Linked DNA regions of Styela clava. The protein of the gene in region 2 binds, or shares a complex with, the protein of the main gene of each other region. Links are inferred from orthologs where the notes say so. Each region holds a gene or a part of one and is shown on either strand. Other genes may lie near its edges.

Region 1 (7,238 bases), on a different chromosome or scaffold from region 2:
TTCAGGAGGTCCCAAAAATCTAATTAACTTCTGACAGATTAAAATAGGGAATACTACTGTTTATCCCAATTATTCGGCAAAAGCAAATCTGATTTCTATGAATTTACAATAGTCTTGAAGAATTTCTCCTGTGAAACAGACCCATTTCAGAATATATTCGTTATTCCAATTTCGTAAAGGTTATTTCAGAATGTATTCTTATACTAGATTATTCGGTTTTGGCCCATCCCTGGCAGTGGTATGCTACATGTTGATCATGAAGTGTATGTGTCGAAAGTATAATGCAATGCCAATAACATTTATAAAGATAGCAAATCTATAATGCGCTAAAAGTAATTGATTTCTTACATTTTTAACATTATTTTGTTTTTGAATACAAAAATTGTGTTACTTACCGCAATTTGATTGTGGTCAGATGAGTCGACTGCATCTAAAAATTCAAACTGCGCTTTTTGATATTCCTTGCTATGTTCGAACGTAAAATATTGATATCTGTAAATACAATAATTATATATAAGTAGACAATTCTCCACTTTCATAACATAATAACTTTGACAAAGGATAGGATTCACATAATTATTCCAATTGAAGAGAAAGCGAATTAGACGGCTTAATCATATTGCGAAGTACAGCGCCTCATCCGGATACCAGTCCATGTCGGACTTGATGGTGGAGAAAACTGTAACCGACCTTACGCGCCGAGAAGTGCAGCAATCCACTCGCACATAATTATCTCCTCGGCATGCATACCCGAGAAGAGTAATCATCAGGAGTGCAGTGGTCAACGTATTCCTAACGCTTAGCATGATGCACCACACTGCCGAGACACATACGCGAGCCTTCATCAATAGACTGTTACTAAAAACACTTAGTAGAATTAAATGCTTTAAGTTTCTGTGCTTCTTTTATCACTATTGAAAGTCTGGAATTCCCTGTTTAACAATAATCTTACTTCTGTGATTTTTCCAGGCAAGTCATACTCAATCCACATTTGGTTAATCTGGGCCAATTTGAAGTAGGTGAAGTCAGCCAAGTTCCTTTTAACGTCTTTACACGATTTCTTTGCCTGAAGTTAGCATCATCCAGTAGAGTCCGAGTACCAAATATTCTTTTGAGTTCGTTATCTGGATTAAGAAACCTGAAATCCAATTTATATCTTCGTCAAAAAAATGAAAGAAATAAAATATATACGTACCAATGAAAATGACTTTAAAAAAATATTAAAACCAAATTAGGTGAATGAAGGATATGACCAGGCTCTGGAGTTGGGTTGGGAGTTTTCTAGTGATTTGTGTTTAAAACTGAAACAAAATTTTTTTTGAAAGTAAGAAAAACAATTATTATTACCTGTGTTCAACAGTCAATACATATTTATATTTTTTCACTTGGACACTGTGGTTAGAAAAATCCCTATTTGGTTTGTTGTTTTCCATTTGAGCAATTTCATTGACAACTTTTTCAATGTCTTCTTCTTCGTCTTTTTTCTAAAAAATACAAAAAGTAATTTTAGCCAGATACTCGATTAATAATAGATTTCCAAGCAAGTGAGCTCTGGGAGTCTGGCATGTTGTCAGTGAGTGGTACCGGTATTTTCTAACTCAACGAAGTCGGTAGCAACATTCCGAATTTCATGAAGTGGTGATAAAAGAAGTTAAAAATTCCTACACAACTCTACAAGTATTCTTAAAAGTCTATTGAAGAAGTCTTGCATAATGCTTATTGGGTGTTTATCATCAAAATTTGATTTTCTTGCACTTCGGTGCTTGAGTCAGAATTTTGTCTCGCCCGGAGTAAGATGCGATTGTTAATTCTCTCAAACTCCACGGCTCAGGCTGCCATAGTGGACATATGTCATAACAGCCTATTTTTTTATCCTGCGAATCAGGTTACTTTGGGACTTATTCAAAAATTGTGAATACATAGCTAAAATCAATTGGACAGAACTGGTATCCCTCATGCAAAATTAACTTATTATGTAAATACGCATTTTTATGACATTCCCCTTAATTGAGAATAAAATTTGGGGTTTTAACGTCAAGGATTTTGACAGAACCTCAATATCTAGTTAGCTTAAAACCATACTGTAAATAAAAATTTGGTGCCACGGAACAATAATGGACATATAATTGAGAACCTTCAAGTCTGAATTAATATTTTGGTACCACATACATTCTTTTTTGCAACATTCTTTTTCTTCTTCTTTGTTTTCTTCCTAGCACCAGTTTGTATTGGAGTTGGTTTTTCTATATTCTCATTCACATTTTCATCTTTGTCAATATTCGTTGATTCATCTGATTCTACATCTTCATTTTCATCGTTTAACTGTATTTATATTAATACTTTAGAAATCCATTGATATAAACAATTTACTTTGAGTGTAACCCAGTGCTGGTAGGGTAGTTGTCTCTAAATCTAAGTCGAGAGTCAATTCAAGTCACAGGTTATCAAGTCGAGTCGATAACAGAGTTAAGTCTCACTGGCGGTTGCCGGTTAATCAAGGGTCACCTTCAGTCTATGAGAAAATGACTGGAATCAAAAAAATGACTGGAGCTGGTAAAAGCTCTAAATCAGTGGTCTGCAAACTTTATGTGCTTCTGGGCAAAATATGCACATTAATTAAACAGTAGCCACATCAAAATCAATTTTTATTTCTGTTTCTGTTTTTATTTCAGTTCTCAGATCCTGAGGTGTCCCAACATTAGGTTCAATAAAACAAACACTCTATTCGTCTCTGAAATGAGGACATCTGGCATGATGGCAAATGTGCCGGCTTTAAATCAATCGCAACAGGTGTCGGCCGTCACATGACCAAAATTGCACTTTTTTGGTAAAAAGTTTCAAATGCCATGGTGAAATATTTTTCCCTTCAGTACAGCGGGTTAATTTTTATTAAAAAATCTAAAGGTGATGTTTTAAGATTGAAATTCCTTTTTAGTTTATTGTGCAGTTAATTTGTGGCGATGTGGAGGACCTTGCACTCACTGTTATATTTCATGACTTTCAATGCAGGGGCTATTCTTGGAATTGGAGAACTGTGCCGTACTTTAGTAGTAAAAATTCTAAATACCAAGTCAAATAGGTTTCTTCTTTCTTGAGATGGTTTTTCAGTTTGCTCAGAAGAATCTTCTTCTTCAGAACTTTCTACAGCGGCTAACGCTGCTAAATTTTTCAACTCATCATCACGTCCATGAAGTTTCCTGAGAACTCTTGTCGACATAATCCAGGCTTACACAAAATAATTTTACTATACCGTAGTCTAATTCTCTAGATAAAGAAAGCCTCATTGAATTAACCACACTAATTAAGAGTGTAACTATACCGTGTAGTACAGTAGTAAGTACAGAAGTATACTGTCACAGGAGTGATCAAGCTTTCTTCAAAATGTAGAAATACCGCAGTACTGACATAACCGTCAGTTGATTCAGATATTGAAATATATCTGTATATTCACAGCTTGCGAACAAAGTCAGTTCAAAGTATATTTATAACTTACAATATGCTATTGCAGTGCTGTCACCTGTCTCGTACAGACATACGGCACCTACTGACTTTTGTATAGGCTTCAGGTACCGGTATAGTCTACCAGTGCGGTTCCTTTAATTACCAGAACGGGGTGGAGAATCTACATAAACCTACCAGAACGGACCTTTATATGTCTTGTAAATGCCATTTCATATACTTCCATGCAATGTTTATATAAATAAATCGGCAAACTTGGGGGGACAGTGGTAAATATAATTTTTTTTAATTACAGTACGGCACACTATAAAATCGGGTGACATTGTCCCGTTTCAGAGAAACCCATTTTACAGATGATCAGACACCTCTCCTTCGGGAGACGTCTGGTCATTGCTGTCCTTCAATATCGGTAATATTACAGTATAATGAAGTTGCAAAAAATACTACAAAAAAGCGCAATCTAGTAAGGTCATCATTGAATTCCTTGGAAAAAATAATCAGATTTACCGAAGGAAAAAATCTTTTACTGTAGCATTCGAAAGTTTTTAGCAAAAAAACGCAATTTTGGTCATGTCACGGCCGCGATTCATTTAGATTATTGTTGAGACAAGCATGGCGTGATATGAAGCATCTGTCAAGGTCCCAGACGCCCCTTGTTTGTAAGACACATAGAGTGTTTGTTTCATTGAGCCAAATGGAGGAAGTTCTTGGAATTTGGATAGTGTGCTGTACTGAATTATCGGAACGAACCCTAAATTGCAGGAAGCAAGTTTATTCGCATAACATTACCCGAGTCAATAACTACTGGTTACTGAGTAGGGCTGGGCATTTAGTAAATTAACATTAAACTATTAGAATAGCAATTTCAGAATTTACTAATCGAAAATTTGGTAACACTTGACGCGACAGGTCGCTTCGATAGATACCTACCTAAGTGGTGTTTCTCGCAAGTTTGAAAAACGAGGAATAAATTTTTTCCTGGTACGGTAGGTGCCAATGGTGGCAACCCAAATTATCTAAATTCAAAAGCGTCAATACAAAATACTAAAATAAAACCTGAAAACTGAGAACACCAAAAGTGGTGTTTTATGATGGTTACGACCGATTAAAAACGCTTTTTAAGACATTGCAAATCGCAAAAATTCGGGTTCTACCGTAGTACACATACCTGGGCAGTTTCCCTTCGAATACTTTTCTTTACTACCTCCACAATCCACATTGTTACGTACATTACTGGAGCGGCGTAAGGGTTGCACGAACAGCACAGATTTGTCGAATTCAGAAAAATAGAAATTAAAACAAAATATAATCAGCTACTTTACCACGCATTTTAATGTCAACGGATTGTCATGGTATTTTTGAGAAGTAATTCTTTGATTTAATCAACACAACCGCAGGTTAAAATGATCCCAATTAAATTAACAAGAGAGTTATGCTCAAATATATGGACACGTAGCACCCAATGGCGGTAATTTTGATGACGTCATAGCGAAAAAAAGTATTAGCCTACTCAATGACATTAATGTCATTGACCTACTGGAGAAAATTTTGGGGCTCCCAAAGTATGCGAACCAAGATGGCGGACATCGGAATGTAATACGTGTACTAGGTTAGGGTTAGGCCATAATTTTAGCTATAAATACTACGGGAGGCTCTTGGCTAGTCTTCGAACTGATAATAGGACTAAAAGAAGGAAAATTGGAAAAAAATTATCGCCTAACCCTAACCTGTTACCCATGTTACGTTCCGATGTCCGCCATCTTGGTTCGCATACTTCGGGATCACCAAAATTTTTATCTTTGACCACTGAAAATTTCAAAGCAATAATTGGTCCAGTATTCAAAGAGAAAAACGATTTTTTTAAAAATGATGGAGACAATTAATAAAAACAACATAATATTGAAACGATCGTATTCAAAGAGAAACACGATTTTTTTAAAAATGGTGGAGACAATTAATAAAAACAACATAATATTGAAACGATCGTTATGTCCACCCTATGTCCACTTCTAAAATATGCCCGTATTTGAATATTTATTTTATGCAACAGTAAAGATCATTGAAAGTCACCATTTTTTTACTTGACTCGCGCCCTATTTCTTCTATTTTGTGTTCGTTGTTGCTCTGATTGGCTGGCTTCTTTTACTTGCTTGCTCTATATGCTGTGGCGGCGATGCGTGAGACTTTTTTTACAAATTTCTTCCTTGCTGCATTCTTATTTTTTTATCTCTCCACCAGTTTCTTCTTCCTCTTCAACACTTCCTCTCCTCCACTTTTTTTTATAAGGGAGACTTTTTTTACAAATTTCTTCCTTGCTGCATTCTTATTTTTTTATCTCTCCACCAGTTTCTTCTTCCTCTTCAACACTTCCTCTCCTCCACTTTTTTTTATAAGGGGACTGACTGACTGACTGAAGATTTTTCTTCTTGCTCCTCACCACAGAACGAACTCATTTTTTCATCTACTTTCTTGTCTAGATGCCACCATAATTTCCATTTTTTTCGCTTTATCGCTCTTCTTTTTAATTTCTGCTTCTCCGCCTCCTCTTCCTTCCTTGTTTTGTCTGCCCATTATTCTGAATCCTGAAATTTCTCCTCTTGGCTGTCCGCTGTATTTCTCTCTCTCTTGGTTGTCCGCTAGATTTCTCTCCATCTTTTTTGATAATCTGTCTGATTCTTTCTTGCTCCCCTTTTACGACGGATCGATCTTCTTCCGTCTGTGTCTCTCTCTCTCCTTTCCTCGGCCGTTCCTCGTCGGCCATGCTCCCTCCCCTTTTACGACGGATCGATCGATCTTCTTCCGTCTGTGTCTCTCTCTCTCCTTTCCTCGGCCGTTCCTCGTCGGCCATGCTTGTTGTTTGCTTATTATTCTTTCACTCCACGAAGTTTCGCTTTCTCGCACTTTTTTTTTAAATTCCTTCCCCTGAAATTTCTGCTTTTGGCTGTCCCGCTGGACTTTCTCTCTTTTTTGATAATTCCGTCTGATTCTTGCTCTCCTCTCTGTACGCCGGATCTTTTTCTTGGACGGTGACCTTTTTTGCCCCTCCGTCTGTGTGTCTTCCTCTCTCCTGCCCGTCGGCTGTTCCTCCTCGGCCATGTTTCTTGTCTTTCAGCTGCCTTCCCACATCGCTCTTCGGTGTCGGCCCACCTGGCTTTTCTGCTGACCCTTCCCTACAGCTCGGTTCTTCTACCTTGCGGCCTTTCCTCCTTGGACACCTTTCTTTTGCCCTCTTGTCTGTTCCTTCTTTTGACTGCCTTCCACCTGGCCTTTTTTGCTCTCGCTCGATCTCCTGTCCGCCGACTCCCTTTCTTCCCTGGACCAACCTGGCTTTTTTGCTGACTCTTTCCTACAACTAGGTCTACCTTGTGGGGTCCTTTCCTACAACTAGGTCTACCTTGTGGGGTTCGAACCCACACTCATACCTGGCCTCATGTTCAACCATGTCTCCACGCTTCCCCTGCGCCACCGCTACTGACGAGAAACGGGCGGATCAGAATTTTACTTAATTAACAACGTCATGCCTGGCATACCACGACGAGCATAATTAACCCGAAAAATTATATATACATGCTGAGTTGTTTTGAAGCAGGTGTGATTATGCCCGAATGGAATTCGTTCATCTGGCACTATTGTGGGCGCTGTTGGGTGTGGGGATATTCGGGAAATTAATATGATATCCCGTTATTAATCGTTGTTTATCTGTAAAATGTGTAATTATGCAATCATCGGCGATAAGATAAGTAAGATAATTTGAGGATTGAATTCGCTACCCAAATTTT
Region 2 (8,300 bases):
CGCACCTCTAATTACTCTGCGTGGGTTCGCAGGTTCGAATCCCAAGCAGGGATGGTTATGTGCGAGAGGATTGCTGGATTCCTCGCCGTCGTTGGGTGGTTCACGTAACCGCTGGTCGGTTACGGCTTCCTCCACCACCAAGTCCATGCTTCCGAAAACAAACAATACAGTAAAACTAATCCCATACCCGACTTGGAATGGTAACCGGACGAGAGGCCGTGGTTCGCCATATGGATAAGCCGTCTTATCGGCTTTCCTCTCCCCCGGGATAAATATGTAAATCCTATCCTATCCACTTAAACACATTCTTCGAAAATGATTCATTTTGTGACAAAATAATATTTCTTGTCAAATGTTGGAAAATAGTCACGAGATTCAGCATGACATAAACCACAATGCTGGCAAACAGAATGAAATTTTGACACACGCTTAAAATGACCAGTAGGCTTTTGAAATTTGTCAATATTTACACGAAATATTTTACTATTCAATGCGAACTTGTTAAATCTACATCCCGGACTATAACGTGTGAATTTTTCATGATGAGATACAGAATAAACTTCTCTCGTTGCAGTTACAGATTCAGTGAGTTCATGTATCACACATACATCAATAGCATTTTCCAATGCAAGATTGGTTTCTTTTAGCAATTGTGTTCGCAGGTTATCATTAGAAACACCAGTCGAAATTCGATCTTTAATCAACTCATCTTTGAGATCACCAAATTCACAAGGCGTGACTTTATCTTTCAAGTCTACAACAAATGATTGAATAGGTTTACCTGGCACCTGTGCTCTTATGTTAAAATGATGTCTTGTTATCCTTGACTTGACTCCTTATTGATTTGGAATTTTAGCACATTTTCTATTCAGGCTTTCTGGACTCGGCACAAGACTCGGCAAGAATGTCACCTTCAACTGCCTCATATGTAAAAGATTCGGGTCTCGTACCAAAGCAAAGTAATTTTTTTTTTTCGATTTTCCATTACAACAAAACAGAGAAGCAATACATGACAAAACAAACAAATACACGGAAAATCGGCAAAATCTAAAAAGATCTATGACGTGCTGATGCACTTACCCCAAACAGCACATTGGGGTAAATTTTGAAAAAATACACGAAGGCAAATCCGGGTGTAAATACTTGGATGTGAAGTTTGAAATACACTTTCTACTTTATATATCGTATACTGGAAAATAACGATTGGTATAGCGTACAACAAACAAACAAGCGGTGCACAACATGTGATAATTATTGTGTGATTCTGAACAAAGCAAAATATAACAAGAGTATTCCATGCACTGGTGTTGAAACTTCAGTAATTATCAAATCCATGTGCTTTGTGAATATGTGCTATTCAACGGTCTTTTTATGAAATCTATTATCAAATATACATTACATCTGTCATTTGACTGTTCATGTTATCATCAGGTTCGATCAGTTTTCCGCTAATGAGCTGAATGTCTTGTACGTTCGTTGAGTGTTTATCCCTTTAATACAGGCCTACCATTATCCGCAATACCTTTCTGTTAATTTTTTTATTCTCTCTACATCTTGTGAATGTTCTGTTTCATACTACAGTCGGACTTGACCATCAATGATTGTCAACACCATTTTTCTTTCCATCCCAGTGTTACATGTTCCCTAACCCTAACCATAATAACTTCTAGAAAGCTTGACGCAAATTTTTTTTTTATATGTTATTCCTAAAGCCCGCCTGACTACGTCATTCAAAAATTACGCCACAGTGTCGTAATAAAGCCCACAAAAATATACGGATGGTCGTCAAAATCGCCAATGAACCGAAGTCGAGCAAGCTACTTCTCGCCGTAACGATCCCGAAATGAGGAAGGATCGCTGGCGTTAGTAATAGATAGATAATGATTTATTTCCGATACAAGTACATAATACAGTAATCATAAGCAAACAACAATAAGCATAAAAATATATACGAAAGGGGACGGGCACAACTTCCAAGATCAACAAGGTCGACCGACCCCTAAGGAGAGATTCTACCAGGACAGGACACTCTAAGCAGGCATCATAATTGCAATAAAGAAAAAAAAATTTTTTTGAGTTTCAAGCCCGCTTTAAGAGGCTTCAGAAATCAATTCCCTAAAAGTACTGGAATAAGAATAAAAATTACAAGGAACAAGAAAAGGGAACATCACATAATTACGCTCTTCATAATGTTTTTTAATAGTAATAAAAAAAAGAGAAAGAATAAAAAGGGCGTAGAGCTAATTATAATTTCCTCAAATTAAGTTTACTTTGTGTTAGACAAGAATCAAATCGTGACAACAATTTCTATGAATGAGTGAAAAATTAAAAATACCATATTTCCCAAGCTATATAGTACATATAAATACTTCAGACTATATATAGCCTAATACCATCTTCAAAAATTTTCACAGAGACATATGAATATCCATCTATAAAAGGGTGAATTCATATCCATTTCGTGAATCTGATAGCATACACGGAGATTTGCACGTTATTGCATCACATTATAATCCGCTAATAAATAAAATTTTAGTTTGCGATCAAATAATTTTGGGGAACAATGTTTCATACTCTGTGGAATACTTTGCCATACATTAATGCCTTCCAGTTTAAGCGATTTCCACATGACTGATGATTGATATCGCGGGGTGAAATACAATTTGTTTGATGTCCTTCTCGTCTCGTACGGATGGATATCTGAAATTTTGACAAAAAAGTCTTGAAAATACTCTGGCAGCAGCAAATTTTCATAACGATACATAAATTTTCCTAATTTACTTATGTAGATTTCTTTCAATTGAAGAAATCCACAATGATGTGTGGAGGCGGGAGTGAGGGGAGGCGGACAACTCGACTACACGAACACGGACGGTTAGTGAGTTCGTTATCGTCGACGCAGCTGCGTCCTATTTCGCCATCGCAATAATACTCTTTCACGCTACCACCAGAATATATGGGAAAATCTGTACCGGTATATTTATACATCGGCACCTATTTCTGTATTTTGATTTGGCTGGTACAGGTACCGTACATGGGTCAGACGGGTCTTTGCAACAGTTCTTGTGGAACCAATGTGTTTCGCTGCAGCTTTCGCAACCGACCCATTCATCCTCAATTTCCGTACTTCCATTTGGATCATTCCATAATCCACAAGCAGAGCAGGTTTCGTCTTGATTATCACTTTTCTGATTTTCTCAGAGCTCCCCGTTGATCGGCTCGGCAGAGGTTCTTGCCCGGTGTGACTTTCGATCCTCGCTTTCGTTTCACTTGACTTGTGCTTGTTGAATGTATAGATTTTAAATAGGTAATGAGAGTAGACGTAGCCTGGTCGTTCATTTCTTGTCTATTGACGTCTGAGGAATGAAATTCGTGAGGTGGTAGTTTAGACAGCACCGCAGTGGGGTTAAACGGGTGGATCCCACAAACTCGGAATCCCGATTTCAGATTTTGGGCAGATGTTTCGGCCGATTTTTGAAAAAGTTTTTTTAATAACAAAGGGAAATGTTCTTTCGGGAAACCACGAATTCGTGATTCTGCTCTCCAGTCGGCTACTATTTTTCGCCACTTTGCTTTGAGTGGGGAAAAAAATGAACAATCGAGAGGCTGGAGTATATGAGTGCTGTTGGGTGGCAGGCACGTAAAATAAACATTGTGTTCATCCGCTAATTCAACAACCTCCACGGTTAAGTGCGATGACAAATTATCACCTACGAGCATTTTGTCGCCGTCTAGTTTGCCACGATACAGGAGAAATACCTCTTTGAACCAGCGGATGAAGGTTCTGGTGTCAAACCATCCGCTGGGTGTTGCGTCGTATATTGTCCCTTCAGGCCCATCGGTTGTCCAATACTCGTAGATGTTTAGCGCGGAATAGACAACCATAGGGGGCAAAAGGCTTCCAGCGGCAGATCCACAAAACATGATAGATATCGAGCTTTTTGAGAAATCTCGAATCATCTCAACTCTATTTGTACCGGTTGGAACTATTGAAAGTTTTCTGCCCGGATCGTCACGAAGATTCGTTTCATCGTAGTTGAAGATGTTCGTTGCAGGTAAACGCGTCGCTATTTCTTTAATCTCGTTGAAGTAATTCACTATTTCCTCTGACCCCACGGCTGCACGTGCTCTTTTAATGTTTGAGGCAACTCTCTTGGATAACCGCTGCCTTTTGCAAAAATTATCCACCCACATCGGGCCAGGTTTGTTGTTGGGGAACGTAGGAGAGCTTATTCCCATTGCATCCAAATAGTTTTTGACAATGTTGTACATGTCCTCCGGTCCAATGGGATATCCCCAACGTGCAATGATTTTGAGGCTATTAGCAAATCGCTTCTCCTCTTCATTGGTTAAACCAGTCGGGCGACCAATACTTTTAGTGTGAGTCTTCTTCATTTTGTCGAATAATGTCGACCTTTTCACGGCATTGCGTTTAGCTGCTTTCGCATACGACATCCCTGCTCTAACATCAGCCATAGCCTTTTGCAAGTCCTCGCTATTGCTTATCGGTATATTTGGCCTGGCCCAACAATTTTTGCATATGCATATGTAATTTCTAACCTCCACATGACTGCGTCATCCGGAAATTACATCACTGTGTCATAGAGCTTGCTAAAGTATAGTTACGATCGTCCGAAATGGCATCTGTGCAGCGATCTCTCTTTTATCGGTACTGGTATCGTTTCGATGACAAGAAATAGCTTGCTCGACTTTGGATGATTGTCTGTGCAACCATTCGTATACTTTGAAGGGCCGTATTACGTCATTGCGACTTCGCAGTGATGTAATTTCCGGATGACGTAGTCATCTGAGGGTTAGAAATTACATATGCAAAAATTGTTGAGCCAGGCCAACTATAAGTACTTGCGGCGCGTACTTCAGGAGACCCCAAAATTGAGCTAGGCTAACTAGAAGTACATGTGGTACCGGTACTAAATTATACCAGACCCAGTGTTTACTTCTGTTAGTTCTGTACTTGTAGTCAATTTAAGTATTTTCACATAGAACAGTAGTACTCCATTGGCGATGGGCTGTAGAGGAGTCAACACTTCCTCTCTACTTCGCTAGACTTGAAATATGAATAAAAAATAATATTTAAAATATAAAAATAAAATTTTATTCAGTCTGATCTATTTACTAAATTAGGCATATGTTTTTTTCATATCAGAAAGTACAGAAGTACGGTACATTTGCCTGTATGCTAGCAATATTATATAAATAAGATCATACTGTCATAAGGTGTTGCTGTATTGTAATCATCATCATGAAGACCCGTTTTACGACTCTTGATATATCTGCTGTGTTGACTGAAATCAATGCCAAGTTGGTAGGAATGAGACTGGCAAATGTGTATGATATCAACAACAAAACCTATCTGCTAAAACTGGCAAAGCCTGATTTTAAGGCTATATTGCTAATGGAATCAGGCATACGTCTTCATATTTCTGAATTTGATTGGCCGAAAAATATGATGCCTTCTGGATTTTCAATGAAAATGAGAAAACATCTTAAAGGGAGACGACTGATTTATGCAAAACAACTTGGAGTGGACAGAATAGTTGATATGCAATTTGGTACAGATGATGCAGCTTTTCATATAATTTTAGAATTATACGACAGAGGAAATATAATTCTCACAGACCATCAATATGCTATTTTAAATATTTTACGATTCCGTAAAGATAAAGCAGTATCATCAAATGAGGGGAATGCAGATGAGAATTCAGATGTTCGTATTGCAGTAAATGAAACTTACCCGTGTGATTCTGCAAAACAGCGCAAAAATTTTTCTGAAATCAAGTTGAAATTAGAGGAAGTACTGAAACAAGCTAAGAATGATGATGTTTTGAAAAGGATATTAAATCCTCATTTACCATATGGAACAGCGTGTATTGAACATTGTCTTCTAAAATCAGGATTCCCCATAAATGCTAAATTCGGTAAAGAGTTTAATATTGAGAATGACCTGGAAGGTTTGTTTATTGGAATATATCATGGTGAGGAACTACTTGACACATTAATGAAAGATTGTTCTAATGGATGGATTGTGCAGAAGTCGGAGAAAAAATCTGATGGAACAAACGTATTAACAAACACTGAATTTCATCCGTTTCTATTCGAACAACATAAAACTTCTCCAAACGTTAAATATGAATCTTTCAACAAATCCGTTGATGAGTTTTTTGGGAGTTTAGAATCACAAAAAGCTGATATGAAAATTTTGCAACAGGAGAAATCAGCAAATAAAAAACTTGATAATATCAGGAAAGATCATGAGCAGAGACTCTCAAACCTCGATAAAGAACAAGAAACTGATCTTCATAAAGCACAATTAATTGAAGAAAATTTGACTTTAGTCGATCAAGCTATTCACGTTGTCCGAACTGCTATCGCTAATCAAATTGACTGGGGAGAAATAAGCAGTTTAATTAAAGATGCACAAATAAATGAAGATCCTGTAGCAATGTCAATCATAAAACTCAATTTAAAGAGCAATGAATTTACGATGGCTCTAAATGAAGCGTTAGATAATTCTGAAAGTGAGGAAGCCTCTTCTGACGAAGATATTAAAAAATCTAAAAAGAAAAAGCGAAAACCTGTTAAAGTTGACATTGATATCGGCCTTTCGGCTTACAGTAATGCAAAAAAATATTACAACAAAAAGAGACAGGCTTCATCGAAGCAACAAAAAATCATTGATGCTTCTGGAAAAGCCCTCAAGTCGGCTGAAAAGAAGACAAAGTTGTCTCTAAAAGAAGCTGCTGTTGTTCATAGCATTCAAAAAGCAAGAAAAACTTTTTGGTTTGAAAAATTCTTATGGTTTATATCATCAGAAAATTTTCTTGTGATAGGAGGAAGAGACGCTCAGCAAAATGAAATACTTGTGAAAAGATATCTTACCGGCAACGATTTATATGTTCACGCAGATCTTCATGGGGCTACCAGTTGCATAATTAAAAATCCAACAAGTGCTGATGTGCCTCCAAAAACTCTCAACGAGGCTGGTACAATGGCTATTTGCCACAGTGCTGCGTGGAATGCAAAAGTTGTAACGAGTGCATGGTGGGTACACAGTCACCAGGTATCCAAAACAGCACCAAGCGGAGAATATCTAACAACTGGTAGTTTTCTTATTCGTGGAAAAAAGAATTACCTGCCCCCTTCGTATTTGGTATATGGATTTGGTTTGGTATTTAAAGTGGAGGAAACTTGTATTCACAAACATAAAGATGAAAGAAAAGTCTCTGAGCTTCAATCATTCAATGGTCAAGATATACCTGATTCCACTGCAACTGAATCGATAAGCAGCGAATTGGAAAGAGAACTAACTATAGATTCGGATACAGAGGGTAGTGATTGTGAACCTGAAACAAATAGTTCTGCTGAACCAGCTATTAAAGATGAGACCAAAAGCGACACAGCTGATAATGAGCCACAACTTGGAACTGTTGATGCTGTTATGATGGATAAAAAGCCAACTGGAATACAATTTCCAGATACAAACATTCAAATAAAATACGCAATTGGAACAAATTCAGCTGATGAAGAAGAAAATCCTGATGTTGTATATCTTGGTGATGAAGAACCGGTTCTTGTGAAACAAAACAACCCAACTAGCAAACCTAGAATATCTGCAAAACAAAGAAGAGATGCAAAAAAGAAAAATCAACCGAATTCCTCAGGTGATCTTGCAGAAAATGATGTAATTCCACCGAAAAATAAAGATTCACCAAATCCGGTCTTGGTGAATGAAAATCCTCAACAGCATCCTGCAAAAAGAGGACAAAGAAATAAGATGAAAAAATTGAAAAGCAAGTACAAAGATCAAGATGAGGAAGAAAGATTATTAAAAATGGAATTGTTGCAACAGTCTCAGAGTCAAAAAGCAAGAGATAGAAAAGCCAAAAAGGCCAAGTCAGTGGCCCCTCAACAAAAAGAAACAAAAGTTCAAAAACAGCCACGTCCTAAACCTGCGAAGTCACAAGAAAATGAATATGATTCTGACGAGGAGAGAAACAAAGTATTGGAAAATGAACATTTATCAGAAGAAAGTATCGGAATTTTGAACTCTTTAACTGGTTGCCCTTTTCCTGATGATATTTTAATGTTTGCGCTGCCAGTGTGTGCACCATATAACACTATGCATAATTATAAGTTTAAAGTGAAACTTACTCCCGGTAATACAAAGAAGGGAAAAGGTGCCAAAACTGCCCTAAACTTGTTTCAGAATATGCGTGATACTACAGCCCAAGAAAAAGATCATTTGCGCAGTATTAAAGATCATGATTTAGCTCATAATA

The links. The genes of interacting proteins can lie anywhere in the genome.
Region 1: ribosome quality control complex subunit NEMF-like (region 2) and ribosome quality control complex subunit TCF25-like share a complex: the UniProt entries of both Homo sapiens proteins name them as parts of the ribosome quality control complex. The link is inferred for Styela clava from reciprocal best matches to the Homo sapiens genes NEMF and TCF25.

Annotation. Positions count from the first base shown.
Region 1 is NC_135262.1:6,384,736-6,391,973, forward strand, and holds the start of ribosome quality control complex subunit TCF25-like, read right to left. Parts: upstream 3,272-7,238; 5' UTR 3,218-3,271; coding exon 3,068-3,217; intron 2,323-3,067; coding exon 2,170-2,322; intron 1,485-2,169; coding exon 1,348-1,484; intron 1,139-1,347; coding exon 953-1,138; intron 493-952; coding exon 396-492; intron 1-395. UniProt on the Homo sapiens protein: Component of the ribosome quality control complex (RQC), a ribosome-associated complex that mediates ubiquitination and extraction of incompletely synthesized nascent chains for proteasomal degradation.
Region 2 is NC_135256.1:10,605,368-10,613,667, reverse strand, and holds the start of ribosome quality control complex subunit NEMF-like, read left to right. Parts: upstream 1-5,213; 5' UTR 5,214-5,263; coding exon 5,264-8,300. UniProt on the Homo sapiens protein: Key component of the ribosome quality control complex (RQC), a ribosome-associated complex that mediates the extraction of incompletely synthesized nascent chains from stalled ribosomes as well as their ubiquitin-mediated proteasomal degradation.